Linked DNA regions of Saccharomyces cerevisiae S288C. The gene in region 1 interacts genetically with each later gene. Each region holds a gene or a part of one and is shown in the gene's direction. Other genes may lie near its edges.

Evidence for each region.
Region 2: mutations in ISW2 (region 1) and IES3 together harm fitness more than expected from each alone (negative genetic interaction), as found in Saccharomyces cerevisiae (4 studies listed by BioGRID, with this or other methods).
Region 3: mutations in ISW2 (region 1) and IES5 together harm fitness more than expected from each alone (negative genetic interaction), as found in Saccharomyces cerevisiae (5 studies listed by BioGRID, with this or other methods).
Region 4: mutations in ISW2 (region 1) and NRG1 together harm fitness more than expected from each alone (negative genetic interaction), as found in Saccharomyces cerevisiae (3 studies listed by BioGRID).

What each region holds. Positions count from the first base shown.
Region 1 is NC_001147.6:879,778-890,232, forward strand, and holds ISW2 (DNA translocase), read left to right. Parts: upstream 1-4,736; coding exon 4,737-8,099; downstream 8,100-10,455. Other genes in the region: BUD7 (exomer complex subunit), read left to right, coding at 1-898; RAX1 (Rax1p), read left to right, coding at 1,188-2,495; YOR302W (uncharacterized protein), read left to right, coding at 2,988-3,065; carbamoyl-phosphate synthase (glutamine-hydrolyzing) CPA1, read left to right, coding at 3,122-4,357; BIL1 (Bil1p), read right to left, coding at 8,743-8,973; RRG7 (Rrg7p), read left to right, coding at 9,245-9,973; MCH5 (riboflavin transporter), read right to left, coding at 10,090-10,455. UniProt on the Saccharomyces cerevisiae protein: Catalytic component of the ISW2 complex, which acts in remodeling the chromatin by catalyzing an ATP-dependent alteration in the structure of nucleosomal DNA.
Region 2 is NC_001144.5:243,701-251,436, forward strand, and holds IES3 (Ies3p), read left to right. Parts: upstream 1-3,500; coding exon 3,501-4,253; downstream 4,254-7,736. Other genes in the region: MLO50 (Mlo50p), read right to left, coding at 186-1,472; EMA19 (Ema19p), read right to left, coding at 1,887-2,372; FCF2 (Fcf2p), read right to left, coding at 2,624-3,277; NRS1 (Nrs1p), read right to left, coding at 4,400-4,726; OSW2 (Osw2p), read right to left, coding at 5,017-7,160, 7,248-7,278; SAGA complex subunit SPT8, read right to left, coding at 7,572-7,736. UniProt on the Saccharomyces cerevisiae protein: Probably involved in transcription regulation via its interaction with the INO80 complex, a chromatin-remodeling complex.
Region 3 is NC_001137.3:338,829-346,181, forward strand, and holds IES5 (Ies5p), read left to right. Parts: upstream 1-4,026; coding exon 4,027-4,404; downstream 4,405-7,353. Other genes in the region: anthranilate synthase TRP2, read left to right, coding at 1-644; MET6 (5-methyltetrahydropteroyltriglutamate-homocysteine S-methyltransferase), read right to left, coding at 1,036-3,339; TORC2 complex subunit TSC11, read right to left, coding at 4,492-7,353.
Region 4 is NC_001136.10:541,529-548,321, reverse strand, and holds NRG1 (transcriptional regulator NRG1), read left to right. Parts: upstream 1-4,952; coding exon 4,953-5,648; downstream 5,649-6,793. Other genes in the region: DNA-directed RNA polymerase III core subunit RPC11, read left to right, coding at 12-344; HEM13 (coproporphyrinogen oxidase), read right to left, coding at 694-1,680. UniProt on the Saccharomyces cerevisiae protein: Transcriptional repressor involved in regulation of glucose repression. Binds to UAS-1 in the STA1 promoter.

The sequences.
Region 1 (10,455 bases):
GTTGCCTTCGAATAATAGTCTTCATTTGCCATTGCCAATTGACGTTGTACTGGATGAAGTGACGTCGTTGAATCCACAAGACGTTCAGAATGAACACCGCTCTGCGGATCCAATGCTGGTCAATTTAGCTGCGTCGAACTTGAAATCTACTTTCCAATTGGCATACCGATTATTGACAGAAATTGTGCAGATCACCGGCTGGGAAAATCTGTTAAAGTACAGATCAAACATTTTCGTTATGGAAGAAGAGTACCAAAAATCATCATCTTCGTTACCAAAGGACGTTAACAAACAAGAAGAACAGCCTCTGAGGGCTAAACGGCTGTGTGAACGATGGTTAGACAACCTCTTCATGCTTTTATATGAAGACCTGAAGATGTATACATTATGGCAAACCGAACAACTGTACATGGATGCACAGAATAACAACCACAATAAGTTGACTTTCGAATGGGAGTTATTTGGCCTTTGTGCACGTCGACTGGGCCATTTCCCTGAGGCCGCCAAGGCCTTCCAGAACGGTTTATCGCAGAGATTTTCATCAAGGTGCGCGAGGAAACTGCTGGAATATTGTATAAACGAACGCCAACGGGTCAAAAATTTTATAAACTCACCTAATTCGCATGACATGGTCCCTGAAATAGTAAGCTCACGCATAAGAGAGCTAGACAATAGCATTATCGACCTTTGCGTGAAGATATGCTGCTGGAACCACCGTTGGTATACGGAATTTTCCATAAGTTTACTTGATTGTTTAAGTGTGGTTATTCAAGATATGAGTCTGACCAAAGTTTCGAATGAAATCTCGTCAAGATATCCAGAAACTGTTCTCAACTTGGTGCAGGAGAATTTGCTCAATTTCTTCACTACTTGCACCATTGGATGCTACGATGCATAAATACGATAAAAAGACATTAATACGTATATATAATCCAAAAAAAATTGGCGATACGCTTCAACGTTGTGTCAAACTCTTGGGTCACTTTAAAGAAAACCCAGCATACATTAATACAGAGCAATGCTGGTTATGTAACTTCGCCGCCCGCCGCCATTCGAGGAAAAATATTCGTGTTTCGAGAATGCGGGCAAAACGAAAATATCAATAAAACACATACGGGAAATTCATTGTGCACAACGACCTCTAACAATTTCTGCCAAAAAGAAAGTTCAAGAGCGTCCCATTCATCATGAAGGAAGAGCTCAGCAAAGTGAGCAGTATGCAAAATTTCGAGATGATCCAGCGTGAACGATTGCCAACATTGTATGAAGTGTTAATACAGAGGACATCGCAGCCAGTTGATCTCTGGACTTTTTATACATTTCTTTCACAATTCCCATATGCCATCAACTATCTGGACTTTTGGGTTGACCTTATGACACATACACGACTTTGCAAAAACTACATAGAGTTGGTAAGAAAATCATTAATCAACTTTCCACAAGAACAACAGCAGAATGGAAGTACATCTACGGCTACATTTGACTTGCTGAACGCACTGATAGAAGAAGGGCACCTAGACCCGGAAGCACCTGATAAACTCTTAGAAAATAGCGGCCCAGACGTGCCCTTTTCACCAAAATTAAACGAATTGCTGGGTGATTGGAAGCACCAATCGGGTATCGGTCAAGAAGCCCTGAGAAACGAAGACGTAGCGCTGATCGTCGACGAGATAATGAAAAGGCGCTCCCAACAAGACGGAAAACCGCAGATAACTACAAAACAACTGCTGCACAGCGCAGTTGGTCTCTGCAACACCTATTTAGTATCGCCCGAACAAAGCGAACGGTACCTGAGCAACATCCCCATGGAAACGCGGAACCGCATAATAGAAAGCGTACAAATCGAGCGAAAGTACGACATTGAGATTTTTGACGACCTAAAAAACCTAACTTACCAATTCCTAGAAATGGATTGTTTCCCAAAATTTCTAAGCCGCGTCGCACTACACAACATCCACGATGAAATATCTGATTGGAGATTCCACTCAGTGGGCGTCACCAACGAAAAAAGCAATCGCTCTCGAGGCCAGACGCACATTTCTCGCTCGCCATTCTCCAATCACACGTCAATCAGTCGTATTGGCTTTGGTTTGCTCTGGCTAGGCATCGGCTTTTGGATCGGATATGTTCTAATCTTCCTGGCGTATAGTCGCGCAATCCGTGTCGTTACGGTCGTGCCATTTACACTGGGATGCTACTGCATTGTGTGTGGCATGTATCAAGTGGACATTGTGTATTCCTGGTTTGGCGTCACACAGAGACTTCTCCACAGACACAAAAACGCTGGCAATGACGAAGGAGATGCTTCTAGTGATACCGATCACGTGCCAATGATACTTGCGGTGTTCGGCGGTAGGCGCCGTCTTACCCGCATAGAGCACCCATTTACTCGGCAGCTTCTACGTAAGCGTGGACTGTGGTGTCTGCTTCTCGTAGTGGGTGCCACTGCCGCATTCACAGTTATTTTCAGCTGTGTTCCCGGCCGTCGTGTATGATGTAATCCATCACCCCCCTATAAAAACACCTGTGCACCGCATATTTCCATAGCGCGTGACGCTAAGTACAAGAAACAGCGAGGGGCCGTTAAGTGCAGGCTTTACCGAGGGCGCCGGCTGGCGCTTCCCGTGGAAGGGTGTTTGACTCATCATCGCATCGCATTACCTCATGATGAGTAAATAGTTGCGATTTCACTTATCACCTCTCGCGGAAAAAAAAGGCGATGACATGATATATAAGGCTCTCTCGTAAGACACTTAACTATCCAACGTTCATTAGATTATTCGGTCAATTTCTTTTTTCATGCCCCTCCTTTTTCTTTTCTTTTCTTGACTCGTCGTTTCTTTTTCTTTTTTTTTTTTTTTTTTTTCTTCAGAACTATAACACATAGATACACTCGAACATCTAATTGTTTAAATACTGCAAAGAATACAAGGTAATCGACTCTTCTACATACCCTTTTTGCAGATTTGAAATAAAAAAAACATTATATGTTTAGCTTATCGAACTCTCAATACACCTGCCAAGACTACATATCTGACCACATCTGGAAAACTAGCTCCCACTAATTTCATTGCTTAATAATCAGAAATTCTATCACAAACCACTCCTAAAAATATTTCAAATGTCCTCCGCTGCAACAAAAGCTACTTTCTGTATCCAAAATGGTCCTTCCTTTGAAGGTATATCTTTTGGTGCAAACAAATCTGTTGCTGGTGAAACAGTTTTCACTACTTCTCTGGTTGGTTACCCAGAGTCCATGACTGATCCTTCCTACCGTGGTCAGATATTAGTCTTCACGCAACCCTTGATTGGTAACTACGGTGTCCCATCCGGCGAAGCCCGCGATGAATACAATTTACTGAAGTATTTTGAATCTCCGCATATACATGTGGTCGGCATCGTTGTCGCTGAATATGCTTATCAATATTCGCATTGGACCGCTGTTGAATCTCTGGCACAATGGTGTCAGAGAGAAGGTGTTGCTGCTATTACTGGCGTAGACACCCGTGAACTAGTGCAATACTTGAGGGAACAAGGTTCTTCTTTGGGCCGTATTACGTTGGCTGATCATGACCCTGTCCCCTACGTGAATCCCATGAAAACTAACTTGGTTGCTCAAGTCACCACAAAAAAGCCTTTCCACGTCTCTGCCTTACCTGGGAAGGCTAAGGCAAATGTGGCTCTTATTGACTGTGGTGTTAAAGAAAACATTATCAGATGCCTAGTCAAAAGAGGTGCCAATGTAACTGTTTTCCCCTATGATTACAGAATTCAAGATGTTGCTTCTGAATTCGACGGTATTTTCTTATCCAATGGACCAGGCAACCCAGAACTATGCCAAGCTACAATTTCCAACGTCAGGGAATTACTAAATAACCCTGTTTATGACTGTATCCCTATTTTTGGGATTTGTCTAGGCCATCAACTCTTGGCTCTGGCCTCCGGTGCCTCTACTCACAAATTGAAATATGGTAATAGGGCTCACAACATCCCTGCCATGGATTTGACTACCGGCCAGTGCCACATTACATCTCAAAATCATGGCTATGCAGTTGATCCTGAGACCCTACCAAAGGACCAATGGAAACCTTATTTTGTTAATTTAAACGACAAATCAAACGAAGGCATGATACACCTTCAAAGACCCATATTTTCTACCCAATTTCACCCAGAGGCAAAAGGTGGTCCCTTAGACACAGCTATTCTTTTTGACAAATTCTTCGATAATATAGAAAAATACCAATTACAATCTCAGGCAAAAAGTTCAATCTCACTAAAAGTAACATACAGTACCGATAAATCGAGATTGCAGAGTATAAATGTTACTAAGTTGGCCAAGGAAAGAGTGTTGTTCTAAAAACAAAATTTATACATTACGTAACACATACGTACATCTAAATACGATTCAATTCAGTTCATGGTATTTTGCGCTACTCGTCGTTGCTTAGTATCTACTCGCAGTTGTCATAATTAACGGGCGCTTCTTGTAATTAAATGAACAAAAAAACGTAACGTACGTACAATGGCTCTAATTTCATCCTGCCATCCTAAAAAAAAAATCAAATAAAGCAGACTCAAAAATTTTCAGCTTCAGTTAAATTTTGATAAGTATATTTGCATAACTCAAGGAGTTTGTGCAAACGGTTTTCTTTCTTTGTGGTTTGTTTTATTTACTTTCCAATAATACCCGTCTTGTTGGTTTAAGTCGTAACAAAAGGAAAACTTACAATCAGATCATGACGACCCAGCAAGAGGAGCAACGAAGTGATACCAAGAATAGCAAAAGCGAGTCACCTTCAGAAGTTTTAGTCGATACTCTCGACTCAAAGTCAAATGGCAGTAGTGATGATGATAATATCGGACAAAGTGAAGAGCTATCAGATAAAGAAATATATACAGTAGAAGATAGACCACCAGAATATTGGGCTCAAAGAAAGAAAAAATTCGTACTTGATGTAGATCCAAAATACGCCAAGCAAAAGGACAAGTCCGATACGTACAAAAGATTCAAATATTTATTAGGCGTCACAGACCTTTTCCGTCATTTTATTGGAATTAAGGCAAAACATGATAAAAATATTCAAAAACTCTTAAAACAGTTAGATTCTGATGCAAACAAACTTTCCAAATCACACAGCACCGTCAGTTCGTCATCACGTCACCATAGAAAAACAGAAAAGGAGGAAGATGCTGAATTAATGGCTGATGAGGAAGAAGAGATTGTAGATACATATCAGGAAGACATATTCGTCTCAGAATCTCCCTCCTTCGTCAAGTCAGGAAAATTAAGAGACTATCAAGTTCAAGGCTTAAACTGGTTAATATCGTTGCACGAAAACAAACTATCTGGTATCTTGGCCGATGAAATGGGGCTGGGTAAAACCTTACAAACAATTTCATTCCTAGGTTATTTGAGATACGTCAAACAAATCGAGGGACCCTTTCTAATAATAGTACCGAAGTCAACACTAGATAATTGGAGACGAGAGTTTCTTAAATGGACTCCAAACGTCAATGTCCTTGTGTTACATGGTGATAAAGACACAAGAGCTGATATAGTACGGAATATAATATTAGAAGCTAGATTTGATGTATTGATTACATCTTATGAAATGGTCATTAGAGAAAAGAATGCTTTGAAAAGATTAGCTTGGCAATATATTGTTATTGATGAGGCTCACAGGATCAAAAATGAACAAAGCGCGTTATCTCAAATAATTAGATTATTTTACTCTAAGAATAGATTATTGATTACGGGCACGCCTCTACAAAACAATCTACACGAATTATGGGCCCTGCTAAATTTCTTATTACCTGATATATTTGGAGATTCTGAACTTTTTGATGAATGGTTCGAACAAAACAATTCGGAACAAGATCAAGAAATTGTAATCCAACAGCTACACTCAGTACTAAACCCCTTTTTACTGAGAAGAGTCAAAGCGGATGTCGAAAAATCTTTGCTACCTAAAATCGAAACGAATGTTTACGTGGGGATGACAGACATGCAAATACAATGGTATAAATCATTATTAGAGAAGGATATAGACGCTGTTAACGGTGCTGTTGGAAAAAGAGAAGGCAAAACGAGGTTACTGAATATTGTTATGCAATTAAGGAAATGCTGTAATCATCCATATCTTTTTGAAGGCGCAGAACCTGGACCTCCATACACTACCGATGAACATTTGATTTTCAATTCCGGGAAAATGATTATATTAGATAAGTTACTGAAAAGACTGAAGGAAAAGGGATCTAGAGTATTGATTTTCAGTCAAATGTCGAGACTATTGGATATCTTAGAAGATTATTGCTATTTTAGAGATTTTGAATATTGCAGAATCGACGGTTCTACTAGCCATGAAGAACGTATAGAAGCTATCGATGAGTATAATAAACCTAATTCTGAAAAGTTCGTTTTTTTGCTAACAACACGTGCCGGTGGTTTAGGTATTAACCTTGTCACAGCCGACACTGTTATTCTTTTTGATTCTGATTGGAACCCTCAAGCTGATCTACAAGCAATGGATAGAGCGCATAGAATTGGTCAAAAGAAACAAGTTCATGTTTATAGATTTGTCACAGAAAATGCTATTGAAGAGAAAGTCATTGAGCGTGCCGCACAAAAGCTGAGACTAGACCAGTTGGTTATCCAACAGGGCACGGGCAAGAAAACTGCATCTCTTGGTAACTCAAAGGATGATCTGTTGGATATGATTCAATTTGGCGCTAAAAATATGTTTGAAAAGAAAGCAAGTAAAGTCACTGTTGATGCTGATATCGATGATATTTTGAAAAAGGGGGAACAGAAGACACAAGAACTAAATGCCAAATACCAAAGTTTAGGACTTGACGACTTACAAAAGTTCAATGGGATCGAGAACCAATCTGCTTACGAATGGAATGGTAAAAGCTTTCAAAAAAAATCCAACGACAAAGTAGTTGAATGGATTAATCCTTCCCGAAGAGAAAGAAGAAGAGAGCAAACCACTTATTCAGTTGACGATTATTATAAGGAAATTATTGGTGGTGGCTCTAAATCAGCAAGCAAGCAAACTCCGCAGCCAAAAGCACCCCGCGCTCCAAAGGTTATACACGGTCAAGATTTCCAGTTCTTCCCCAAGGAGTTGGATGCCTTACAAGAAAAGGAACAGCTTTACTTCAAGAAAAAGGTCAACTATAAGGTTACTTCTTATGATATTACGGGAGATATACGTAATGAAGGAAGCGATGCTGAAGAAGAAGAAGGAGAATACAAAAATGCCGCTAATACAGAAGGTCATAAAGGCCATGAGGAACTTAAAAGAAGGATTGAGGAGGAGCAAGAGAAGATTAATTCAGCACCGGATTTTACCCAAGAAGATGAATTACGAAAGCAAGAATTGATATCAAAAGCCTTTACTAACTGGAATAAGAGGGACTTTATGGCGTTTATCAACGCCTGCGCCAAATACGGTAGAGATGATATGGAAAACATTAAGAAATCTATTGATTCCAAAACACCAGAAGAGGTTGAAGTGTATGCAAAAATATTCTGGGAAAGACTAAAGGAAATCAATGGGTGGGAGAAGTATTTACATAATGTAGAACTTGGTGAAAAAAAAAATGAAAAACTGAAATTCCAGGAAACTCTATTGAGGCAGAAAATCGAACAGTGTAAACATCCATTACATGAGCTGATAATACAGTATCCACCTAATAATGCTAGAAGAACTTACAATACCTTAGAAGATAAATTTTTATTATTAGCTGTTAACAAGTACGGACTTCGTGCTGACAAGCTCTATGAAAAATTAAAGCAAGAAATCATGATGAGTGATTTGTTCACTTTTGATTGGTTTATAAAGACAAGAACGGTGCATGAGCTATCAAAAAGAGTCCATACGCTATTAACTTTAATTGTAAGAGAGTATGAGCAACCTGACGCAAATAAGAAGAAAAGGAGTAGAACTTCAGCGACTAGAGAGGATACTCCTTTATCCCAAAATGAAAGCACTAGAGCTTCAACGGTTCCAAATCTCCCGACGACGATGGTGACAAATCAAAAAGATACAAACGATCATGTTGATAAAAGAACCAAAATTGATCAAGAAGCATGAATCATGTATTGTGCATTAAAATAAGTGACGTGAGAGATATAATTTTTTATATTACTTTTTCATTGAATACAATTAAACTAACGAGCCTTATAGACCGCATTATATAATGAACCGTAGCCACTTCTTGACCACTATCTTCAAGTTTGATAATGATAAATGACAGGTAATCATATTTCAGTCACCTTTTTCCCTTCAATGAAATGTGATATCGCTGCAAAAATGGTGAATGAAGAGGACAAATTAAGTCTAACTGGGTCGAGCCGCTTTAACTAATTCATATCCATTCTAAGATAATTGAACTGCTGAAAACTAAAGCCTGCTTTGATACTTGTCATATTGTATTTATCTACAAACTTACATTAACAACAGTGTACTGAATTATAAGAGAGCAATTGCCAAAAAAGTCATTTAGTTAAAACTTCTCCATTTCAAGTTTCCAAGGATAGGTGAAGTGCTATCCCAGAGACTCCAAAAACATGCGAATATATTATTAAGTTTCAGTTGATTAATATTTCTAAACCATATAAAAAAGCACGTATTTGGCACGATCTGTAGTTAATTGCAACCTAGTTACGCGATAGCACGCGTTTTCTTTTTTATGAATAAAAGCATTAGAAGTTTCCATGTTACTACTCACCTGCTCTCACCGACTCATTTTGTTAAGCTTGTCTTCAATTGCTTGTATACTGCGTGAAAACTCATCATCATTTTCCTTCATTTGCCTCTGAACATCCTTTAGTGATTTTTCTATTTCATTTGCCAGGTCAAACACGGTTACAATATTTTCTGTATCTCCCTTTATTGAGTTAGTCTCAGATGTATTGGCCAAGGGAGCCTGTGGTTCCTCCGAAGCTTCCAGTTTTTCAGTACTCATTACAGTGCTCCTTCAGAAGATGCAAGTCACATTTACAATATCATTTAGCGCTAAGGTAAAATGTACCTGTAAGCCAAGCCGCTTCATTGGTTTGCTAGTTTTTTTTTTTTTTTTTTTTTTTTCAAATTATTTATCGAGGCCAACTGAAAAGCAAAACAACATGGTTGATCGATACATAGAAATTAACGACCAGGAAGCGAAATACTGCAGCAAATTTCTAAAGCTTCTTCCTATATAAAACACGGTAAAGAACGGTAAAACATGATAAAACATGATAAAAAACTATTTGGGACGAAGATGGCTCAATAATCCTGCAATTCAAGCATATGTGAAACAAAATGCTGCTGTCGCCCATTCTACGGTGTTTCAAGGAAATCTTTATGAATATACGGTGATGAGGGAGTTATCTGAGAAACTACGAATGACAAAGTTGAGAAAAACCGGTGGCGCCCATGATGGTGGCGTAGACATAAAGGGAAGCTGGCCAGTAGATGATATTTATTGGAAAATTTCATCGTTAATGCCCAATTTGGAAATGGCTAGTAACATAAAAAGAACGAACTCGCAAAATGGCTTCGTATTGAAACCTTTAAAGTATAGGATAATCGACCATACTTTTGAACCATTGAAAGTACTAGTCCAATGTAAGGCTTTCACTAAATCAAAATTATCTCCTAGAGAATTCCGTGAGTTAGTAGGAACATTCACCTCACTAGTATCACATAGTCAACGCAACAAAACAGTATGCATTATGTGTTCCCCTCATATGTTAACAAAAGATACCTTAAATCTTATCAATAACATCACGCTTCCTCTGATATATTTACGTGTTGAGATGCTGAAAGAGAAGACTGACGGGCACTTTGACTTAATCAATTCAGGAAAACTAATTAATTATTACGAGAATTCATACGCCTCTACGTTAATGCAAGATTGCAAGATTTCTGAATGGCTGAAGTTGAAGTTGTACAAAAATAGTGACTTTAATTCGGAAAAATAAAAAAAAAAAAAAAAACATAAGGAAATTTTAATTAAATAGTCTATCTACACATTTCCTAAAAGAAAATATTATTGCATTACTTTTTTGAAGATCTATAAAGGGCACTGTCTTACTTTTTAAAATCTGACCCACTTGAAGCCAACACAGTATGCTCTCGAAATTATGTAGCAAACAGCGCTTACAAAAGTTGCCAAACCGCAAAAAATAATATAGTGTTGGTAATCGGCCGTTGTCTTGATAGAGATAATGGCACCTGTTATCGGAATGCCGACTAAAGTACCGAAACCGACAACGAAGTACATTGTAGAGTAACGTTTACCGAACTCTTCCGTTTTAGATATCTGGCCACAGCAAACAGGAAGTAAGGAGAAAACGCTTCCAGAACAAAATCCATATAGGGCACTAATAACGTACATATTTGTCAAATTGGTACCAAATGGTAACCAACCAACAAACATGACGATAAATAGAGTGAGTAGAGT
Region 2 (7,736 bases), on another chromosome or scaffold:
ACTATCTATAGTATTGAAGATAAGTTAAATTAATGTTTAGTTCTGATATTTCATTTTTATTATTAATTAAATTTGCACTATTCGCCATGACGGGTTCACCCGAGTATTTATTTTGCTTTCGTTATACATATATATATATATATATTCTTCCAGGAGAAATACCTGCCTTCTCTCTTACCCCTTGCTCAATCTAAATCAATCCGTGACCTTAAATCTTCTAGCAGAATGACTAAGTCACAATCGATTTTAGAAATTTGAATAACCAGCTCAGAGATATTACTGACAAAAAACTTGTAATGGCACTGTTTTAGCAAGTTTAAGATAAATGTATCCATTAAGAAAGCATTGATTTTATTCGGACCATAATAGGTAGTCACTATTAGAATATCTAAAAGTTCTAGACCAATACCATCTAATTTGTGCTTATTCAATGCGTTGGTCATAAAATTTCTTATTACAGGCTTGATGAAATCCATTATCACATTTAATTTCAACTTGTCCTTTAAATGGTAGTATAAGTTAGGAAAGTCCTGATAGAACTTCCCCTCAGTAACCGTGTAAGAATTCTTGTTGTCCTTATTGTCATCGAAACGACTATTCAACCAGGTAACGTTTTTCGTCAAATTGATGAAAATAGACCGGGATAGAGTTTCCTGCTCTTCGTTGTTACAACATTTCCTTATTGCTAGATACAATGAGTTGTTCGCATACTGACTGAAAAATCCGGCTTCGTCTAGTTCGCTATAGTGATATAAACATCTCTTGTATATTGGAAGACGAAAATCGTTCGGTATCCCAAACCAATATAAGTTATGCTTACTTATCACCAACAGCAGGTCCGTCTCATCGCCAGATGTATGACAACTTCTCAAATTGCTCCAAAACTTTTCCAATTTTAGTTCTCTTCGAAATAAGTTTCTATTTTGAAACTTTAAATTTAAGATGTTCCTCTTTGTTTCCGATTTAATGAGGTTTTGTATGGATGGATCAGTATGAGTGCACAAGGTTTCATCGTTATTATTGGCAATTAATGATAACGATTCTTTTTCACTATTGATTTTCCTTTTATTTTCCTGAATCAAAGAATCTACACTCAAATTTTTTTGTGGTCTAATGACTAATGAAGATGATCCTGATGAGTTCCTGTTGTTGTTTGGAGTAAACAAACCATCAGAAAACACAGAAGACGCAGAAGAAGATGAAGAAGAGTACATCGTTGATCTGTGATTCGGCGAAGGGGCCACAGGACTCCCCTGAGAGTTTGCTCGAGGAATGGCAAAGTTGTCTATTATGGGGACAGCATAACTAATGAGATTAGTATCTTTATCTATTGTTGTGTCCAGAATTGTTGTCCAATCTGTGGTCCCGGAATGTAGGGCCTCTTCTTTCAAATCGTTTCTTGTTATTCTATGCCTGCTATGGAATAGCCGCTGACTGGGTGGTACGTACTCGTGCATGATATTATTAACCATGAGTTGTAGCTGTTTTGTTATATCCAAAGAATTTGGCTAACGTATCCTTGTACGCGTGATTTATTTATATATACGTGCAGCACAATATATATATATATATATATGTATGCGTGCGCTTGGTTATGGCTCAGTAAAGCGAAAGTAACGGAATAAGCGAGGGAAGGGGGATCTAGCGATGAGGGAATGGCAGTAACAGACTGTTCCCTTACAATACACTCTTGCTAAATTACATCAAGGATAATATACTATTTTAAAACAAAAACCAGCCATTTCCCTAAGGACGCGAAACTTTTGTGACGCGTTTCAAATAAAAAAGAATACTGCAAAACGCAGCACAATAATTAGATAAAACTAGTGGCATATGTCACTAATTAACTATATAGTCACTAATACTGTATATATAGCCGACACAGGCTACACAAAACACAAACGCAAAGGAATTAGGAATGTAGGTAGGTACACCGAGGCTAACTGACACTTCTGGGTCATGGACAAGCTTGTTTTTAGCACATCGTAAGGAATGTAACCACGCTTGAAAATAACAACGATACATATCAAGGTAGTTAGAGAGGCATTCCAGCCATAGATACGCAACCACTTTTTCAATCTGCTATTTGTATTAACTTGTAATTCGCTTGAATTCCAGAATTTATTGACGAAATAGACGAAAAGGGGTAGTTGCAGAACTAGCTCAAGGACTACAAACCAGTATAGCCATTCTGGTTTCTCTGATAGCAGGAAATCGTGTTGCTTTGCGATGTGATCACTAACAACCTTTTGCGCAATCCCTAGTTGCCATTTAGCGGGAATAACCACTGATGAGTCGATGAATATGGTGATGGGAATGTGAACGATGAAGTACCACAAGTAGAATTGTTGCTCACGATGTCCTAGCTTCATTATCTCCGGTCGCTTTTCTCTATATGTTTTCACGTGAGTGGCTCGTTTCTCGTACTTATTTGCTGCGGTTGTTCCTTTTATACCTACTAATTCGTATCCTGTACAAAAGCCGATAATTCTTTACTATGTTTTCAAAGGTTTTTTTTTTTTAAACGATATGCAAATTATTAATTCTTTTGAATATTTCTATGTAATCTAAACCACTTTACAATATACTATATGGAATACGTGGCGAAGAAAATTCCATTATCTCACCTCCGCTTCTTTCTCATCTCTTTCATTTTCTTGTAATGTGCCTTCCTACCGCTCGTAGATTTCTCCTGAATTTCGTTGTATTTACGCTTGAAATACTTATTAGAAGCTTCATCACCCATGAGTGTTTCCAAAATAGTCGACTTTCTTTCCTTCCTGTTCATACGACTACTATAAAACTCACTCTTGTCTTCAATTATGGTACCAATAGCAAACCTCTCTGGCACCTCCCAACGTTGCTTCTTATAATGTCTCTTTGGATCAAGAGCAGCTCTATGTTTAATCAGCAATAAATCTCGTTGAACTTCACGACGCATGTTATCATCTGGCTTTGGTAAGGTAAACCAGTCATTATCGTTTTTGTCGCTCTTGTTGGGTTTTCTTTTATCTTCTGTCTCCACACTAGGCAAGACGTTCTTCTTCTTCTTCTTGTTTGCTAAAGCATCAAATCCGGTTTCTAACTTAGGAAGCTTCTTAAGATTAGTTTCGATCTCTTGAAATTTACTTTCAATTTCTACTTCATCATCATTATTGCCTATCTGCAAAACATCCTCTTGTTGAAGAGAAACTTGTTCCTTCGCTGAATTTTTTACTTCTAGACTGGCACTAGCATCTCTTAGTGCTCCAAATAAGTCTTCCACACTTTGATCCATGTTTAACAGCTCCTTTCTCACGTCCTCTTTAATTGGAAAACTTGACGTCTCATCGCATTTTCTATTTCTTTTCTATCTTCTGTTTTAATATGCTGAAAAATTTTTAGGCCGGCACTAACCACGAATTATGATAAAAGAGAAGGATGTTTAGAGAAAAGGTTTTCGTGTGAAAGGGGGAATTGCGTTGTTAACTGACATAGCTGTCTTCAATGGAATCATAACAATGAAGTTCGAAGACCTCTTGGCAACCAATAAACAGGTGCAGTTTGCTCATGCAGCTACTCAACATTACAAAAGTGTCAAAACTCCAGATTTCTTGGAGAAAGACCCACATCACAAAAAATTTCATAACGCAGATGGCTTGAATCAACAAGGTTCTTCGACCCCATCTACAGCTACCGATGCAAATGCCGCCTCAACTGCTTCCACTCACACAAACACCACGACATTCAAAAGACACATTGTTGCCGTGGATGACATATCGAAAATGAACTATGAAATGATAAAGAATTCTCCAGGGAATGTAATAACGAACGCTAACCAAGATGAGATAGATATAAGCACCCTCAAGACAAGGTTGTACAAGGACAATCTTTACGCTATGAATGACAACTTTTTACAAGCTGTCAATGACCAAATTGTAACATTAAATGCAGCGGAGCAGGACCAAGAAACTGAGGACCCTGACTTATCAGATGATGAAAAAATTGATATACTGACCAAAATCCAAGAGAACTTGCTTGAAGAGTACCAAAAACTTTCACAGAAAGAAAGAAAGTGGTTTATATTGAAAGAACTACTGTTGGATGCAAATGTAGAACTCGATTTGTTCAGTAATCGTGGCAGGAAGGCAAGCCATCCAATCGCATTCGGAGCAGTAGCCATACCAACGAACGTCAATGCGAATTCACTAGCATTTAACAGAACCAAGAGAAGAAAAATTAATAAGAACGGCCTTTTGGAAAACATTCTTTAAGCCAAGATTAACATAAGACAAGTTTGCAAAATCCCCAACTTCACTTCCATATGCATATTCATTTAGGTATATATCGTATATTTGAGAAAAATTCATATATGAAACGTTATTAAAACATGAAAAATAGAATGTGTTATCGGGCTTAACTATATTCTGCCATTCAATGCGTGTTTCTTGACCATCTCTCGCACTACCTCTGACGGTACATAGAATGGGTTATGCTTCTTTGTCTTTTTCGTGTGCTCATATTGTCTTTGGTTCTCGAACTCAACCTCCTGGGTTAAATTTATATTAAAGAACAAGAAATCCTCTATGCTATCATTATTATCTTGAGATTCCATCTCAAATAGTTCAGAAAATCCGGTGTTCCCGAGGTCATCGTATTGCAATTTTTGTTTGTCTACCTCATTACTCAAATTGCTATTGGAGGTGCTTTTGATAGCATCACTACATTTATTATGAAGCATATCCATTAACTCCGTCCTGAGTTGTTCCGACGTGTGTCAACAAAAGGATTTACTAAGAATGTTGTATTTTGAGTTTTAAAAGGACGTGCATATGCACATACATATATATATACATATATGCGTATTTATCATCACTCCGTGCTGTTTAGAAGCTGCACATATTATGCATCTATCGCGATAGTATTGTGAGTTGGAGATAAAGATTTAATCATTTGTGCAACAACCGCTTTCTACTGTAGGCATAGAATTTCGCGCATCCCACCCCTTATTAACAATCACATTTTTTTTTTTTAATATTAATGACTCCGGTGGTCGTGATTGTAATCTTGATAACAATCGCGATCATGATCACGTTCTTTAGCCTCATTATCGAACAGTACTGGAGGTGAATAGGCACACCGTTTATCTAAAAGTTCCATGATCGTGGATTGGTCCCTCAAGATGGAATCATACGTATCTACACCACCGTATCTACTAGTGGTAAATCTCAAAATATCCCCAGTGTTGCCACGGTTCAAAACATCAATGTGGTCCAGTAATAGCTCATACGGATTCGTTCGTGGACGAGGCAGTGCTCCTCTATGAATATTGAACCGATGTTTAATTTTCCACATCTGAGATTCTAATTCAGAATAGTTTCGACGTCTTGCGTCCAATTCTGATTGCGTCCTTGGTTTAACTTCGTAATATAATTGTCTATGTAAGTCTTGGTATTCTTTGGCGAACATAAAGTGATTTGACCTTAATTGCAACTCCAAGCTGCTTGTAGTATATGGTCTTTTCATATCATTTGATTTATCCTTACTCGACCTTTTAATAGAAAACCTCCTGATGAAGTGTGGCACAGCAACCACTCCAAATTTTTCTAGAGGCTTTGTGGGCTTTGTTGAGCTTCTTTTGTCAATTCCAAGGCAAGAAAAGTCGTCTTCATCGGCCAAATATTCATCTTCAAATGTATGTATCGTATCATCAGGCAAGTGTTTATCATCGTAGCCTGTATCTGCTTTAGTTGGAGATTTTACTCGTTTTTGACCACCAGATGTATTTGCGTCGCAATTGCTAATGTATTCTGCACCTAAATACAACTTTTCTAAGTCCGCTGGTAAAGCTGGATCATTGACACCCAGTGGACTTGTCATCGTGAATCGTTGTGTTAAACTAATGAAAGAACCTTCCTTTACATTTTTGTCCACTCTGTTTTTGCCTTTATCTTGATCCTCGTTATCACCATCGGTAAAATCTTGGCCGCTATTAATTCCTGAAGCAACGTTAATACCACCACCAATCCTGCTGTCCAACATCGACAAGGCATGCTCACACCTTCCACCATTTATTGATAGCCCACTTAGTGTCAGTAACCTCGTATAGAATCCATATAGGAAATTTAAATTTGAACACGAAACACCATACTTTTTGGCCAAAATGATGGGCTGATGCAAAAGAATTTGAGCAGGATATTCAAATCGGTGGTAGAAACAATAAGGCTCAAACGGTAAGGATAAATATTCCGGATGTTCGTTTGCCGTAGAGTTGATAAGTTGCAGTTTTTTACCTTTGCAATATTCTACGATTTTCCCAAAATTAATCTCTTCTTCACCTTGTGATTTTACTAGCAAAAACCTTGCAATTTTGCTTCCACATTGTGCAAAGCAAATTCCAAGTAACTCTTTCACCAGATCTTTAAAAATAATTTCTGTGGATTTGTTTTCTAACATTTTCTCATAATCAAATTGTTCATAGATGATAGAAAGGATGTTAAGTGAGATTTTAGGAATAAGCAATTCCCACATTTTCAATGCCATTTGTTTTGGGTCCAAAATTAATTTAGATTTCATCCATTTCGCAACGGTCAATCCAAGAAGGAACCTGCGAACATTTGAACCCTTAATCCCTTGCAATTCTAACGAAGCTGCTTTCGTGTTTTCCAGAATGGTTGGACTTGCTTCAAAATTAGCATCACAATAAGTTAATCCCAAAGTTATTACACATTGATCGTCGTTGACCAATGCATATGATCCAAGCGATAACTGTCTGCATTCAACCTCACACGAAATGGAAATAACACACTTGCACTTCCCTCCAAAATAACTTATGGCTATGGGCTCCAGTTCGCAACCAAAATCAGTGCTAATAAGCACAGTCGTATTGTCGTTCGTGTAATCTGACAACAATCGACAAGTTGTTTCGAAAGACTGTAAGGAAATTGCAGACACTAACACAATGTCAATTGAATACGTATTTGCACCGTTATGTTTTAATTTGTGGTGCAGCTCTTTAATATCCTTAGTGAGAATGTTTGGCGTGTAGAAATTGGCGCCTAGTTTTGTCGATTTCCAGGCAACTAACTCGTCACTAGACACATATTGCGAGACCAGTATTATAAAAGAGTTGCTCAAACTTAGTCTCCATCCTAGAAATTGTGCTGCTGGTGTTTCTCCAACTGTAAAAAAAAGGAAATTTAAATTTACATTTATATGTTAGTAAATTTTTGTTCGAATGTCTGTTTTCTTAAACTTCTTTGCCATACCTATTAAGCACGTTAATTGGTTTTCTTCCATAACTAATGCGAGTTCTTGCCTTCAAAAAAAGAAAGAAAGGCTTAGGAATACAATTTGAACTAGTATTTGTATCGTGCGTCTATGTGCTTTTGTTAATATGAAGCGTATTATTAACTCCATTCATTTTACTTTTCATTCAAATTTTGATAGTATAATATGCCTTTGTCTGCCCGGACCCTGAATTACTGACACAAAATGAAGGGATCAGTGGCCCTGAAAAAAAAAAAAAAAAAATAAACGGCGCGCGGAGTAATTATGATTATGATTATGGTTATGATTATTATTACAACTCACTATTCTAAGTCTATATCGTAAATAAGGGTCGTGTCCGTAGAATTCCCCTGCCAGCCTCTGTTGCCACTTGTGCTTATTATAAATCTTGAAGTGGGGTCGAGGTATAAGTTTGATATAATACCACCGTGATGGCCCGGCACGATGAGGAACGGCACTTTAGAACT
Region 3 (7,353 bases), on another chromosome or scaffold:
GTGCATCTCCAGAATTGTTGTGCAAATCGGATTCCAAAAATAGAGTCATTACCCATCCAATTGCTGGTACTGTCAAACGTGGGGCTACTACTGAAGAGGATGATGCTTTAGCGGACCAATTACGTGGCTCGTTAAAAGACCGTGCAGAACATGTTATGCTGGTAGATTTAGCAAGAAACGATATTAACAGAATTTGTGACCCATTAACAACAAGTGTCGATAAACTGTTAACTATTCAAAAATTTTCTCATGTCCAACATCTGGTTTCTCAAGTCAGCGGTGTTCTCCGCCCAGAAAAGACAAGATTTGATGCATTCAGATCGATTTTCCCTGCAGGTACTGTCAGTGGTGCTCCAAAGGTTAGAGCCATGGAATTGATTGCCGAACTAGAAGGAGAAAGGCGTGGGGTTTATGCAGGCGCCGTAGGTCATTGGTCATACGACGGTAAAACAATGGACAATTGTATCGCTTTAAGGACTATGGTCTATAAAGATGGCATTGCTTACTTGCAAGCTGGCGGTGGTATTGTTTACGATTCAGATGAGTACGATGAATATGTCGAAACCATGAATAAAATGATGGCCAATCACAGTACTATTGTGCAAGCAGAAGAATTGTGGGCCGATATCGTAGGATCAGCTTAAAAAGGGCATTCTCTGTTTTTTTCCCCTTAGACGACATTTTTATAGTTTTCGAATAATATGATATAATGATGTATAGCAGGATCCTGAAAAGTATTATTCTTTCGACATATACATTTGGTCCGACTTACAACCAAAAAATTTTTGTTCAAAAAATATAGGAAATTTTAGAAAACGAATGTTGAATGCGTTATAAATAATACAGAATGTACGTGTATATAAAAATATAATAAAAAAAATGCAAGAGTTATGGCTTTGTAATAAAATTGATATCAAAAAATTACCCAAATAAACTTTTAAATGTGAACACAAAAATTAAATCACCGATGTTGAATCCCAGAATAAAAAACAAAAAGTTCAGAAAATATCATTACTTTGCTTCCTTTTTAAAACCTTAATTCTTGTATTGTTCACGGAAGTACTTGGCGGCTTCGACCATATGAGTCAAAGACAATCTAGTTTCTTCCCAGCCTCTAGTCTTCAAACCACAATCTGGGTTAACCCAGAACTTTTCAGCTGGGTAGCTCTTCAAGATGGTTGAAATCTTGGCGATAAATTCATCCTTTGATGGAATTCTTGGAGAATGAATATCGAATAAACCTAGACCAATGTGGTTTGGATAGTTTTTGAATTCAGCAATGTAGTTAGCATCGTCCTTCTTAGAGAATTCGATGGAAACAACATCAGCATCCAAAGCCTTGATATGGTTTGGATCCAAGTCAGAGTAACAGAAATGAGAGTGTATTTGAGTCTTGTTAGCAACACCAGAAGTAGCAACTCTGAAAGCTTCGGCAGCCCAGGTGTAGTAAGCAGATCTCTCAGTACCTTCTCTCAATGGTAAACCTTCTCTTAAAGCTGGTTCATCAACTTGGATAACCTTGATACCGGCAGCTTCCAAATCATTGACTTCATCTCTCAAAGCCAAAGCTAATTGCATAGCTTGAGTTTTTTGGTCGACATCGTCTCTTGGGAAAGACCATCTCAAACAGGTAATTGGACCAGTCAACATACCCTTTACTGGCTTAGAAGTGATGGATTGAGCGTAAACAGATTCCTTGACGGACATAGCCTTTGGTCTGGACAAGTCACCAACAATAATTGGTGGTCTGACATATCTGGAACCGTAAGATTGAACCCAACCGTTAACAGTGAAAGCATAACCGTTGATTTGTTCACCGAAGTATTGAACCATATCGTTTCTTTCTGGTTCACCGTGGACTAAGACATCCAAACCAATTTCTTCTTGGAATCTGATGACCTTTTCAATTTCAGAATTGATGAATTTTTCATATTCTTCAGCAGAGATGGTGCCCTTGTTGAATTTGTTTCTGTTAATTCTGATGTCCTTGGTTTGAGGGAAGGAACCAATAGTTGTTGTTGGGAACAATGGCAAGTTGAAGACTTTTTGTTGTTCAGGCAATCTTTGTTCAAATGGAGCTGCTCTAGTAGACATTTTTTCGTCGATAGAGGCAACTCTGGCCTTAACGGCAGCATCGTGGATAAACTTGGATTTACCTCTGGATTCAACAGATTTAGCGTTAGCTTCTAGGGCAGCAGCAACGTCTTGACCGGAAACGTTCTTGGTGATCACAACAACTTCATCCAATTTTTGAGTGGCGAAAGAGAAAAAGCCCTTGATTTCAGCGTCCAACTTGGTTTCGTTGTTCAAATCAACTGGTGTGTGCAATAGAGAAGAAGAAGTGGCAACAACGACTCTGTCAGCACCCAACTTTTCAATAGCCTTGTTAACGATAGCGGAAGACTTCTTGAAATCATTCTTCCAAATGTTTCTACCATCAACAATACCAACGGACAAGGTTTGTTTGTTACCAATGGCGGCAACGACTTCATCAAATTGTTCTGGAGCTCTAACAAAGTCAACGTGTAAGGCAGCAACTGGCAAGCCCTTGATGGCGTCTAAGTTAGGGACAACGGTACCGAAGTAAGTAGCCAAAGTAATCTTTGGTAGATTGCTTTGTTCACCGAAGTAAGTGTAAGCCTTCTTAATGGCGGCTTGGGCGTTGGCAGGCAAGTCCAAAACTAAGACAGGTTCGTCAATTTGAACTTCAGTGGCACCAGCAGAAGCCAATTTAGATAGGATTTCAGTGTATAGAGGCAACAATTGTTCCAATAGGGACAATGGTTCCAAATCTAGAGAATCCTTGTCAGCCTTACCCAAGAATAAGTAAGAAACTGGACCCAACAAGACAGGTCTAGTATGAATACCTAACTCCTTGGCTTCCAAAAATTCGTCAACTGGCTTTTGGCCGTTCAACTTAAATTGAGTGGTCTTGGAGAAAGTTGGTCTAACGTAATGGTAGTTAGAGTCGAACCATTTAACCATTTCCAAAGCAGTGACGTCGACAGCCTTTTCAGTTTCAGTGGCCTTTCTTTGTAAACCTCTACCCATAGCAAACAAAGTGTCGATTGGAGATAGATCGTACTTAGTGTAACGGTCTGGAATGACATTGAACAACAAAGACAAATCCAAAACTTGGTCGTAAAAGGAGAAGTCATTGGATGGGATGATATCAACACCAGCCTCCTTTTGCAACTTCCAGTTTTGAGTTCTCAAATCCTTACCGACCTTGAATAATTCATCGACAGTGATTTTACCGTTCCAGTAACCTTCAGTGGCCTTCTTTAATTCTCTGTTTGGACCGATTCTTGGGAACCCTAAGACAGCAGATTGAACCATTTTTGATATGTACTTTGAAATTATATTGGTATTTTGTTTCTTAGAGTGTTGTCAATGCTCTTAGATGCTTGCTTTTTTATGATAAAGGAAGAGTTTAACAAAAATATTGAATACGTAAAAGAGAAACTAATGCTAGTAAAGATGGAAATATCTATCACTTATATAGAATTTTTTTTTCTTTCCTTTTTTTCTTTCGCAGTTGGGAAAACTAGCTAGCTTCCCTTAAATTAGTGCATCTATCGCATTTGTTCCATATTCACATTCACAGTTCTCAATTGAGCAGAACGAGCTATGACTACCACAGTTTTGCGACCGGGAGATAGAGCGAAAGAGCTGCCATGACTGCGATGACTCTAGCGAAAAATATTGGCCTTTTGCACGTTCGCGACTAAACGAGTTCGATAGTAGTCCCGTTTCTGGTTTTTTCCCTTTACCGGCCCACATTTTTTCACCTGACTCCGGTCCTGACGTACGACTCTGTTTGTAAGTCACGTGAAATATTTCCTGTGGCTTTTACTAGTAATGTGCACGTGATGTGGCGTGATGGTCCTTTACCCGGAGTGCGGGACCCTGGTTCATGAAAAATTGTGTGAAATCAACTGCATTTTTGGAAGCGAAAAAGATGATGAACCTGAGTTGAATGGCTGTGGGAAACCAATACTTGACTGATTATAAAACAAGAAAAAAATGCCTAGTAAAGATCCAGAGAGCGTTATAGACAAAGAAATACGGAAGATATCAGCAAGAAATGATGAGCTTATCAAACAGGATGGGACTCTAAAAAGGGAATACACTACATTATTGAGAAAAGTATCGAGCGTGATAACGGTACTGAACAGTATTGATGATGCAGATACTGGTTCTGCTGAAACGGAACTCCCACGCTTAATATCTCAAGCAACAGTAGAGAAAGTACCCGAATTGAAGTGGTACAATGATCAGATATCACTGATTACAGAAAAGTTGGAGGACGATGAAGATATTGAGGTTCCCGAGGAGCTAATGGATGCTTATACTCTGTACAAGGAAACCCCATTATTATATAATGATACGCACACACCATAACGGTTTTGTATGCTGTGGTGTAGGGAAGTGCCTGGGTCTATGGAATATTGTGACTATATACATTTATACATGCGGCCCTTTTTTGCTCTAACGTGTAAAATTAGCCGGCCTTTTGTCCCTTTTGTTGTCGTGCCTGATGACATTTTCAAGCGCTCTATTGTTAATAAATAGTCCGCAAAGAAACTTCCTAACATGTGGCTTAAACCGATACTTCGACATCATATTAAATACTTTGAAGAACATTTTCTCGTTTTCAAAAAGCCTTGGACCGTATTTATTGTTTATTTCTGTAATCTCCTTCACTGCGTGATTTGAAAGGATATGATTGCCTAGCTGACTTACTATATGTAGTACCTTGCTCTCGATGGAGTCATCGTCATTGCGGTATTGTGTAACATAGGGAGAAGAAAGGCCTTCGTTTGCGAAAAGACTACTATTTTCACCTGAAACAGTGATAGTTTGACTTGTGATATCGTTGTCGTATTTATTAGTAATGATTTTTTCATTTAATGGATTCTCTGCGGTATCTTTCTCTTTGAGTAGTTTGTCCAAATCAAATTCGATGGGTAAGCATTTTTCTATCAAGTCGCCATCGCTTTTATTAAAAACAATCATCTCATCAGAATACTCGCCAAATGCGGACCATTTGTGTTCGTTATACGATAGAAATCTATCGAGCCTATTTGGTAGTGCGATCCCGATAGGCTCATCTTGTACACTGACACAACAGTTCCATCCCATCTCGTCTAGAATTTCGCAACCCTCGCGGGTCATGCTGATTAATCCCAGAACATAAAATGCTGTAAACCTAACGCTGGTTACGCTGGCATTGTAGGCCACCTCGATAATATCTTCCACCAATGAGTAGTTATCTAGTAGACCTATCCCCAATTCTGTGGATCCGATAAACCCAACACACCATAATGCTGCTTTTAAGTCGAGAATTTCTTTGGCATTTTCTACTGTGGCCATATTGTTTCCGTTGACGTATTTTTTTATAACGTTCATGAAAGTAACCAAATCTCCTGTTTGGCTTAATAGTAATATTCCGTCTTCTGTTTTCGTTAGACTTTCATAAAAATGCAATGGCAGGCGACTCTTTTGTTGAAATGTGAGGGATTTTGCATTAATTGATTCATTTTTCTTCAGGAATTCCTCCACAATATGAACATACTCAATGTTTTTTTTAGATAACCACGAATCCCTTTCCTCCTTCACAAAATTGATTTCGTTCAACAACTGGAACCCGTATGGGCGGCTTAATAACTCGAAAAGTATTGGAGACCTAATGAATACCATTTGGTTTAAAAACATCCTAAATGAGGTGCCCAGCTCTTCAGAGCCATTGCCCGCGACAATACATTCATATAAAGCTTGGTCTGCTACGGCGACTACGCTGGGGCTCAGGTCGTATAGTTGCCTTGTTAACATTTCCATTTTGAATTGCTGCAGTTTCACTTTATTCGCTTTTAACTTAAGATCACTTTCTTTCGTGGATAACAGTTCTTTTAGTTTATCGCCTATATGCTTTGTAGCCTCAATCCTAACTTTCTCATTGGCCACTACAAGGGCCTTGCCGATAATGACGCGGCAATGTGATGAATATTTCAAATCTAATTCTGGTATTGTTAATAATAGAAACTCAAGCCCCAGTTTCGATTCAAATTGAAACATCTTATAGATTACGGTAAAAAAATTCCACCTCGTTAGGATATGAACCCCATTCTTTGACTGCGTCAATATTCCGATGAATTTGAAGTATCCAAATATTATTTTTTCTCGTAGTTTATTCTTGTTGAAGATGTTGCCTGATATATTTCCCTCCATTGCTCTAAACATTAAAGACGCCAGTTGCGGTATAATTTTTGTATCATCCATAAGGATTTTCATTCCTTCTGGAGTCGCCGTTAGTGTTTTGAAAAACTGGCATCCAACTTGTACATACTTTTGAGATAATTTTGCGCCTTTATTGACGTTGGAAAATCTCAATCTGAGTGGTCTGTAAAACACCAAAAGTCTTCTGATGAATTTGGTTGATTTAACTAATTCTTCTAGTTGCTTTTTATTTAGTAATGGTCCTTCAAGTAATTCGTTAATTATGTTCCAATTCCATCGCGTAAAATCCTTCGTTTGCAAAACTTTAGAGTCATAAACCATTCTTCTAAATCGGAAATCATCTACTTCGCGGAGAAGAGTATTCTCTTTAATATTTTTGGAAAATGATTTTATATTTTGAGCATAATCAATGCCCGACATGCCAATTGTATTCCTGTTTCTATTCATTTTATAAGCGATCTTCTTGAACTGGAATGTTTCATTGACGTAAGTGAAGTTCTCCTTGTAAATTGGTTTTGATACTGAAGTATACTTTTTATCGACTAAATTCATTCTTAAATTAAAATATTCGGTAAGAAGATATCTGCCTTTTGCTACCAAGTGATCATCTCTATCTTCTTCGTTCAAAAGTTCAAGGAGGTGGGGTACAAATTCCGAGTTCTCCAGAATTAGCACAATTAAGGCTAGCCGTTGATTCACAGACATACACTCTTTGTAGTACTGAGATGGGATTGGTTTGAAAGAATGAGAATGTCTGCCCCTTGGCTTGTATGGTAGTGGTTTGATTTTCAAAACATCAAGAAAGATGTCGATAAGATATTGGGCGCATATAGGAATTTGGAAGAATGACACCAGCTGTTTTAACGGTTTGAAATTGTTGTTAGAAAAAAGCATAAAGCCATTGTAGCTGTTCAAAGTTATTGAGATAAGTGTAGAAGCGTTTTGCATTTTTTCCACATTAACGTTTGACTTTGTATTTGTATCCGAAAAGACCGTGGTTAACACAGATACATTGAAATCTTCCAGAAAATGTTGCCTTGTCTTGTGTGTAGCCATTAATTGTAAAATAGTATCAAGTATTACTGATGCGAGTGAAAAAGAAGTATAATCTTG
Region 4 (6,793 bases), on another chromosome or scaffold:
CATAATTTAGGATGCTTTCGTTTTGTCCTTCGTGTAACAATATGCTACTGATAACGAGTGGCGATAGTGGTGTATATACATTAGCATGCCGTTCATGTCCATATGAGTTTCCTATAGAGGGTATAGAAATCTATGATAGGAAGAAACTTCCAAGAAAGGAAGTTGATGATGTTCTTGGTGGTGGTTGGGACAATGTGGATCAAACCAAAACCCAATGTCCCAATTATGATACTTGTGGTGGTGAGAGTGCTTACTTTTTCCAACTACAAATTAGGTCAGCTGATGAGCCGATGACTACCTTTTATAAGTGTGTAAACTGTGGTCATAGATGGAAGGAAAATTAAGAAGTCCTTGAATATAAGATGAATTTTCTAAGAATAAAAAGAGTAATAAAAACATCTTAAAATTTGATTAGAAGGCATGATCGCATATTGAGAATGAAGGCTGCTGCCATATTTTTAGAGCAATAGATACTGATATAATTTTTGATCCTGCACGTACTGTGAACTTGCATCATAAATAGGACGCAATAATTAATATTTTTAAGAATAGAGATCCTGTATCAATTGAATTTGAAGAATTATGTAAAGGAGGTATAATAAATAGATAAAAAAATGTATAAATAAGTGGTCGAAATAATTAAATCATCATTGTCATTGAGATCATAAAATCGGTCTGCTAAAGAACCTTGAATTATTTAACCCACTCTCTTGGTTTGGTGGTAACTTCTAGTAATTTAGCTTCTCTGGAACCAGGAGCAGGGTGGTGGTTGTATAACCATGAAGCATGTTCAGGCAAACTCATCAAAATTGACTCAACTCTAGAGCCTGGGGTTCTCAAACCGAATTGGGTACCTCTATCGTAGATTAAGTTGAATTCAACGTATCTACCACGTCTAATGGCCTGCCATTGTTGTTCTTCCTTTGTATATGGCATATCTTTTCTTCTCTTGACGATAGTCAAGTAGGATGGCAAGAAAGCATCGAAACAGTCTTCAACCATCTTCAATATTTCTTGTGGGTCACGTTCATCATAATCGTCAAAGAATATACCACCAATACCACGTGTTTCCTTACGGTGGGTAATGTAGAAGTACTCATCACACCATTTCTTGAAACGTGGGTACAAAGCAGTGTCGTGCTTGTCCAAGGCATCCTTGTGCAGTTGGTGGAATAATTGACCGTCTTCTTCGTATAAGTAAGAAGGTGTCAAATCAGCACCACCACCAAACCACCAAGTTTGTGGGGTCCCATCTTGGTTCCAAGTTTCGAAGTAACGGTAGTTTAAGTGCGTGGTTGGAGCGTGTGGGTTAACGGGATGAATGACCATACTTAAACCACAAGCGAAGAACTTGACACCGTCGGTAACTGGCAAACCAGTCTTTGGATCTTCTGGTAGACGCAGATTCTTATGATCAGCTTTCATGGCTGAAACGGCCGCTGGGCTCAATTGACCATAAACAACGGAGACATTAACACCACCTTTTTCGAAAGTTGTACCGTCTTGGATAACCATAGAGGTACCACCACCACCATCGTTACCACGGGTCCAAGTATCAGCGTGGAACTTAACAGTATCGATGGATTCCAAACCTTGCGTGATTTCAGCTTGTTTGCGACGGATAAGAGCTTCCATTTGTTGTCTAATTGGAAGATTCCTTGGATCTTGAGGGGCAGGCATCTTTATGTGTATTTAATTGTGTTCGAAGAGTTCGGTTTGCTATGTTTGATTTGCGAAAAGAAAGCTTTTGATATGCTCAAAAAAAGAAAACCCGGAGAATAAAAGCTTAACAAAGAAAGACAATAGGTGGAAAAAAAAAGGAAAATCCGTGTCCTTATATAGCCTTTCGAAACGAGAACAATGGGCAAAGCAAGCTTTATCTTCGGATCGTCCGTCAGCGCTTTGGTTGCAGTCTTATGCTTTGTTCAAGCTGGAGCGTTATTGGTGGGAGAACCAGAAAAGGCGAAAGCGTAGCGTTCTTTGAAATTTGGCTTCTGTTCCTGCGACTCGTTTAAAAGTAGAAGGGCCCGCGGAGCCGCTGTGAAAGATTTCTTTTACTCTTTCAGCGCAGAAATCTCGCAGGAGCTCAGCAGAAAGTGCCTATGACGGTAATCCCAGGGGCTAATGGTGTGAAGGCACTTTCTAAACAATTGAAATTAAAATACCGTGCCTATAGTAACTTTTTTTTACGCTGTGAACCGTTCAACACACAGTAAAAACTCCGCAGGAAATGGTTTGAAGAATCTTAATCACGAATTAGGCGTATTGTTTTTCCCAACAGTGAACGAGAGGACAAACTCCAGAGGATTTGCGGGCTTGATGATAAAATGTATTGTTGAAAAGATCGCGAATGCAACAATTACGGTGGGGAGAAATATCAACAAAAGGGCAAGGCTATGCCTTCTGGAAAGTGGCAGACTTGCACTTTCCTCGAAAAGAAAAATGACCGCAAGATCCGGTTGTTCTCAACCTTCTACATTAAGACATACTTCTACGATTTTCGAATGCCGAAGCAACTATCGCTGAAATTTGTCATGTCAAAATTGCTACTGGGGGAGAAGAATATATATGGAAGTAATTATTATTTACGTTGCTGAAATGGCAGGTTAGACGCATGTTTTGCAAAATAAGTGGTTTTGAAAAGAATTGATACTAGGAATCGGTGCAATACCTTCTACCTTTCTTAATAGGTATTCTTGAATAATCTACCTCACTTTCTGTCCCAGATACGAGATGTCGAGCGCCTCGAAAATAGATATCGTTTATTACGTTAGATACGGAAAGGTCTACGTGTCATAATAAATTGCATCTGGATTGCGATTTTGGGTCATGCCTAACTGGGAAAATATTTACATCTCCATGTTCTCATTCTGCCTTTGCTTTCCTTCAAAACATGGTTTTCAATTCAACCTAGGGTCTACCGCGGAACCATATGTACGCCGTAAATGCGAGTGTTCTTGAAAGGTAGTAATGTGTTCCCTCTCAATATGTAAGTCCTTCAAGAGTATGCACTTGCAGTTGCACTGTTTCGGGTAATTATCCGTCATTAAGAAAAAGATGCTTCCACTTTCTCGTGTTTTTACGCACAATCGTGCCATTTAACCGGAAATAGACTCCATTGCATTGATTGCTCTCATAAAAATTATAGCCCGCGTTTGATACTTGTTTAAAATAGGTGTCGACAAAGTTAGTTTCTGTCTTCCATTTAGTTTTTACAATATGACACGTCAAATAAATCTTTTCGATTTAGTTAAAAGAGTTACCTGGCGATAGCCTTCTGGTAAAACACCTATTCATAAAACAATCTTAAAAAACCAAAAAATTACCAAACAACTATGTAGGACATATTTTTACAGTTCATAAAAACGCTTCGAGCTGCCGATATCGGTATCAAACACCAAAATATACATAGTGCTGGTTTAAGCCAGAATATCTTGGTGAAGCTGCGCCTATATGCCTTGTATTTAAAACAAGTCACGAAAAGCTATTGCCAAAGGAACATAAAAACTCGTATCTATGTTATATTATAAAAAAGATATAATATTTATATATTATTATTAATATTATTTTTTAGTTCCGAAAGGAGAAACTTATAATTTTTATATCATTATTTATTATTATTTTTAATTTCAACTCCTTTTATACCTATTACTGCATGTGGAGAAAAGATTAAACCAGGCGAGGCAATTTACACTTATTCATTGAGATAAGATGAAAGAGCCACGCCTCGTTACATTTAGGCTACATCATATAACAACTAGTCCCAGCCTCCCCCCTTCCCCACCTTGGAGTACTTTTCTCCAGAAATAGAAAGCTAAGAATCAAAATCGCACCATTACGTATGAGCTCATTTGCCGTCTTTTCCCCGACAATCCGGCACAAAATCTGGCTACCCGTCGTATGTATGGTAGACGATATTATGTACTCTAGTAATGCTATGTACGAATAGTTTCAGACGGGCACAGGGACCTAGAACGCCAAGCGCAAAAAAAAGCTGATAGGAATTCGACGTCACGAACCCTTGGAGTAAAAGAAAACTAAAATATACGAACTTCGCGGAAAATAAAAAACTTTTCCTTCAGTTGTTCCTCGTTCGAAACAGTAATCTACACGGACCGTTGCTTATTTTTAGCCAGATTCTAGTTAAATAAAAAAAAAAGAAATAAAATTAAAAAAAAATTAAACTGTGGCAGATAAGCCTTTCTAATCGAGGCAGTGTGTTTCTTTTGACTTCACCGTTTGTCTTCGCATAGTTCCCCTAAATATTCTAACTAGAAAAATCGCTAGTATTTTTCTACTTATAAGTTGATTTTCCGCATATTTGTCTTTGAAACGTTTGAGACAGGGAAAACTCTGTTTTCTAAAAGAGGAAAAAGCAAAATGAAGTATTGGCTTGGTTGCGGTCAACACCCTCAGGGAAAGCCAAGAAATGCTTTTTACTGTTTAGCAGTGAAAAGGCCGCACCGGAAAAGAAGGGAAAAATTCATTGGGTCTAGATTTTTCTTATCGGTAAAAGACTATGGCCTCTTGAGGACCCTTAAGCGTGAAACGAAACGCGTTGAGCGCGCAGAGGGGCTTCGCCGCCGGTCAGGGTGTTTGGGGTGTTTTTTCTTTTAATTATTCTCTTGGCAGTGTCATCTTTCTACAGTCTGGCTGCAGGCTCCTTTTCCGTTATTCATATATAAGGAAGAGAACTTTCCAAACCCAAATTAAAAAAAATTTGGTTCCCATCTCTTAACTAAAAGAAATTATATTACTCCACCTCGTTTACAGTTTTTTGATGCTATAAGGGAATTCTGCAGCTTTTGAAAGTAAAAATCATATCGTATACGATTCTGCAAAGTATTATTGTACTGTAATTCCTACCATTACGGCGCCTTTTTCTACCATTCACCTTTCTTGGATTGTTCCTCTCGACCAGCATATTACTACCCTTCGCAAACTTTCAGGCAATGTTTTACCCATATAACTATAGTAACCTCAATGTTTCTACTATGCCCGCACTGCCGGGAATCTCCGCATTTGATGGAATGCAAGATGAAGAAAACGTTGAAATAAGCCCGGAAAGAAAATATCAGACGCTACTACCAGTTCTAACTAATTCTCATGTGGTAGAGAATGAACTAAAACACAAATTAAATAAGACTGCTTTTGATTTCCGATACCAAACCAAATCAGAAAATGGCTCTGAAAAGTGGGAGCCAAAATACTTAATAACGCCTAATTTACAAACAAGAAGCGTCTCTTTTGACAATTCATCGGTACAATATAATTCAGATTCATCCGAAAAAAGCTCGCTATCACAACTAACTTGTAATTCATCAATAATACAACAGCCTGAGAACGGAATAGTTTCTAATGATGCATATAATAAGATGGCAAATAGTAGATACTCTCTGAAAACGCGGAAGCAAAGAACAGATCCAAGAAATACGTTATCAGATGAGGAAGACCTTGAACAAAGGCGCAAATACATTTGCAAAATTTGCGCAAGAGGATTCACTACATCGGGTCATTTAGCAAGGCATAATAGAATTCATACGGGCGAAAAAAATCATTGTTGTCCGTATAAGGGATGCACGCAGCGATTCAGTCGACATGATAATTGCTTGCAACACTATAGAACACATTTGAAAAAGGGACAATAATTGACGGTATACCCGTGTTTTTCTCATTAGCAGTACTACTATTCCGCACTTTACATCATTTTTTATAAACTCATGCATACATACATTGTACTTCAAAAGATTTTTTTTTTTTTTTGGCATCATAAATCACTTTCAGATCAGTTTCCTTTCAAACGCGCGGCATTAAGAAAACTTTTAATGTCAAAAAAACGGAAGCAAAAACCCCTCCCTTCCGCTTAAGATCATGTCTGGACATTTTAGTTGTAAGGCTGCGCCTCGGTAGCAAGTAGTGCTGCAACAAGGCTATTATGCCACCTAAACAGACCACTTTTGCTTAATACGAGACTGTGACTACCTCCTGACTTCCTGTCATAACAAAAAAACAGACGTCGCTGCATTAACATTTACAACCCCAAACCTTCTTCATTCATTGCTTTTCTTTTAGAAACTGTGGCTTTTTGACATTTGCAGTTTGCATAGTTACTTTTTGATCACTAACAACGATATATTATCGTTGAACAATTTACTACGCAAAACAGTTCACGTGATGTACGTCAGATAATTCACTGAAGGTACTACCTTTCGAGCATCTCTTACAGCAATGGTAACAGCTCATTGAAGAAGAAAAAAATAAGACAAATTTTTTTAGAGCTGCAAGCGTTTTACTAGGCATCAGAACTGTCTCCGAACAATAGTATAGTTAATTATTATACTTCAACCCTAGAAGAAATACCCGAAGATGTAAGGATGTTTTTGTTCCTATAAGCTTTTTTTTTTCACAAAATTTTCATCCACTCTACGTCTTCCATACGGTCATATAAAAGGTGCCATATCCTCGGCCAAGACAAAAGGCTTCAGCTCCATATCTTTTGAAATCATGTAAACGCATGGGGCTCAAGTACTGAGCAAAGTAGGAGAAAGGATATTGAACATGTTCAGAAGAACGTGGTATCTTTTTCCTTATTATACATTCTCTTGGCGAGTGATCGAAAATATATATGATGATATCCTATAACAACAACAACATGAATTTCTTCGTCCGAATCCTTTATAGGTGGAAACAAACTTTGACAATAGCTTTTTAACACTGATAATATATTTTCGCGTCATTCTTGCTGATTTTCTTTTTTCTTATTCTTATTGTGCTTCATCCTCCATCTTCAATG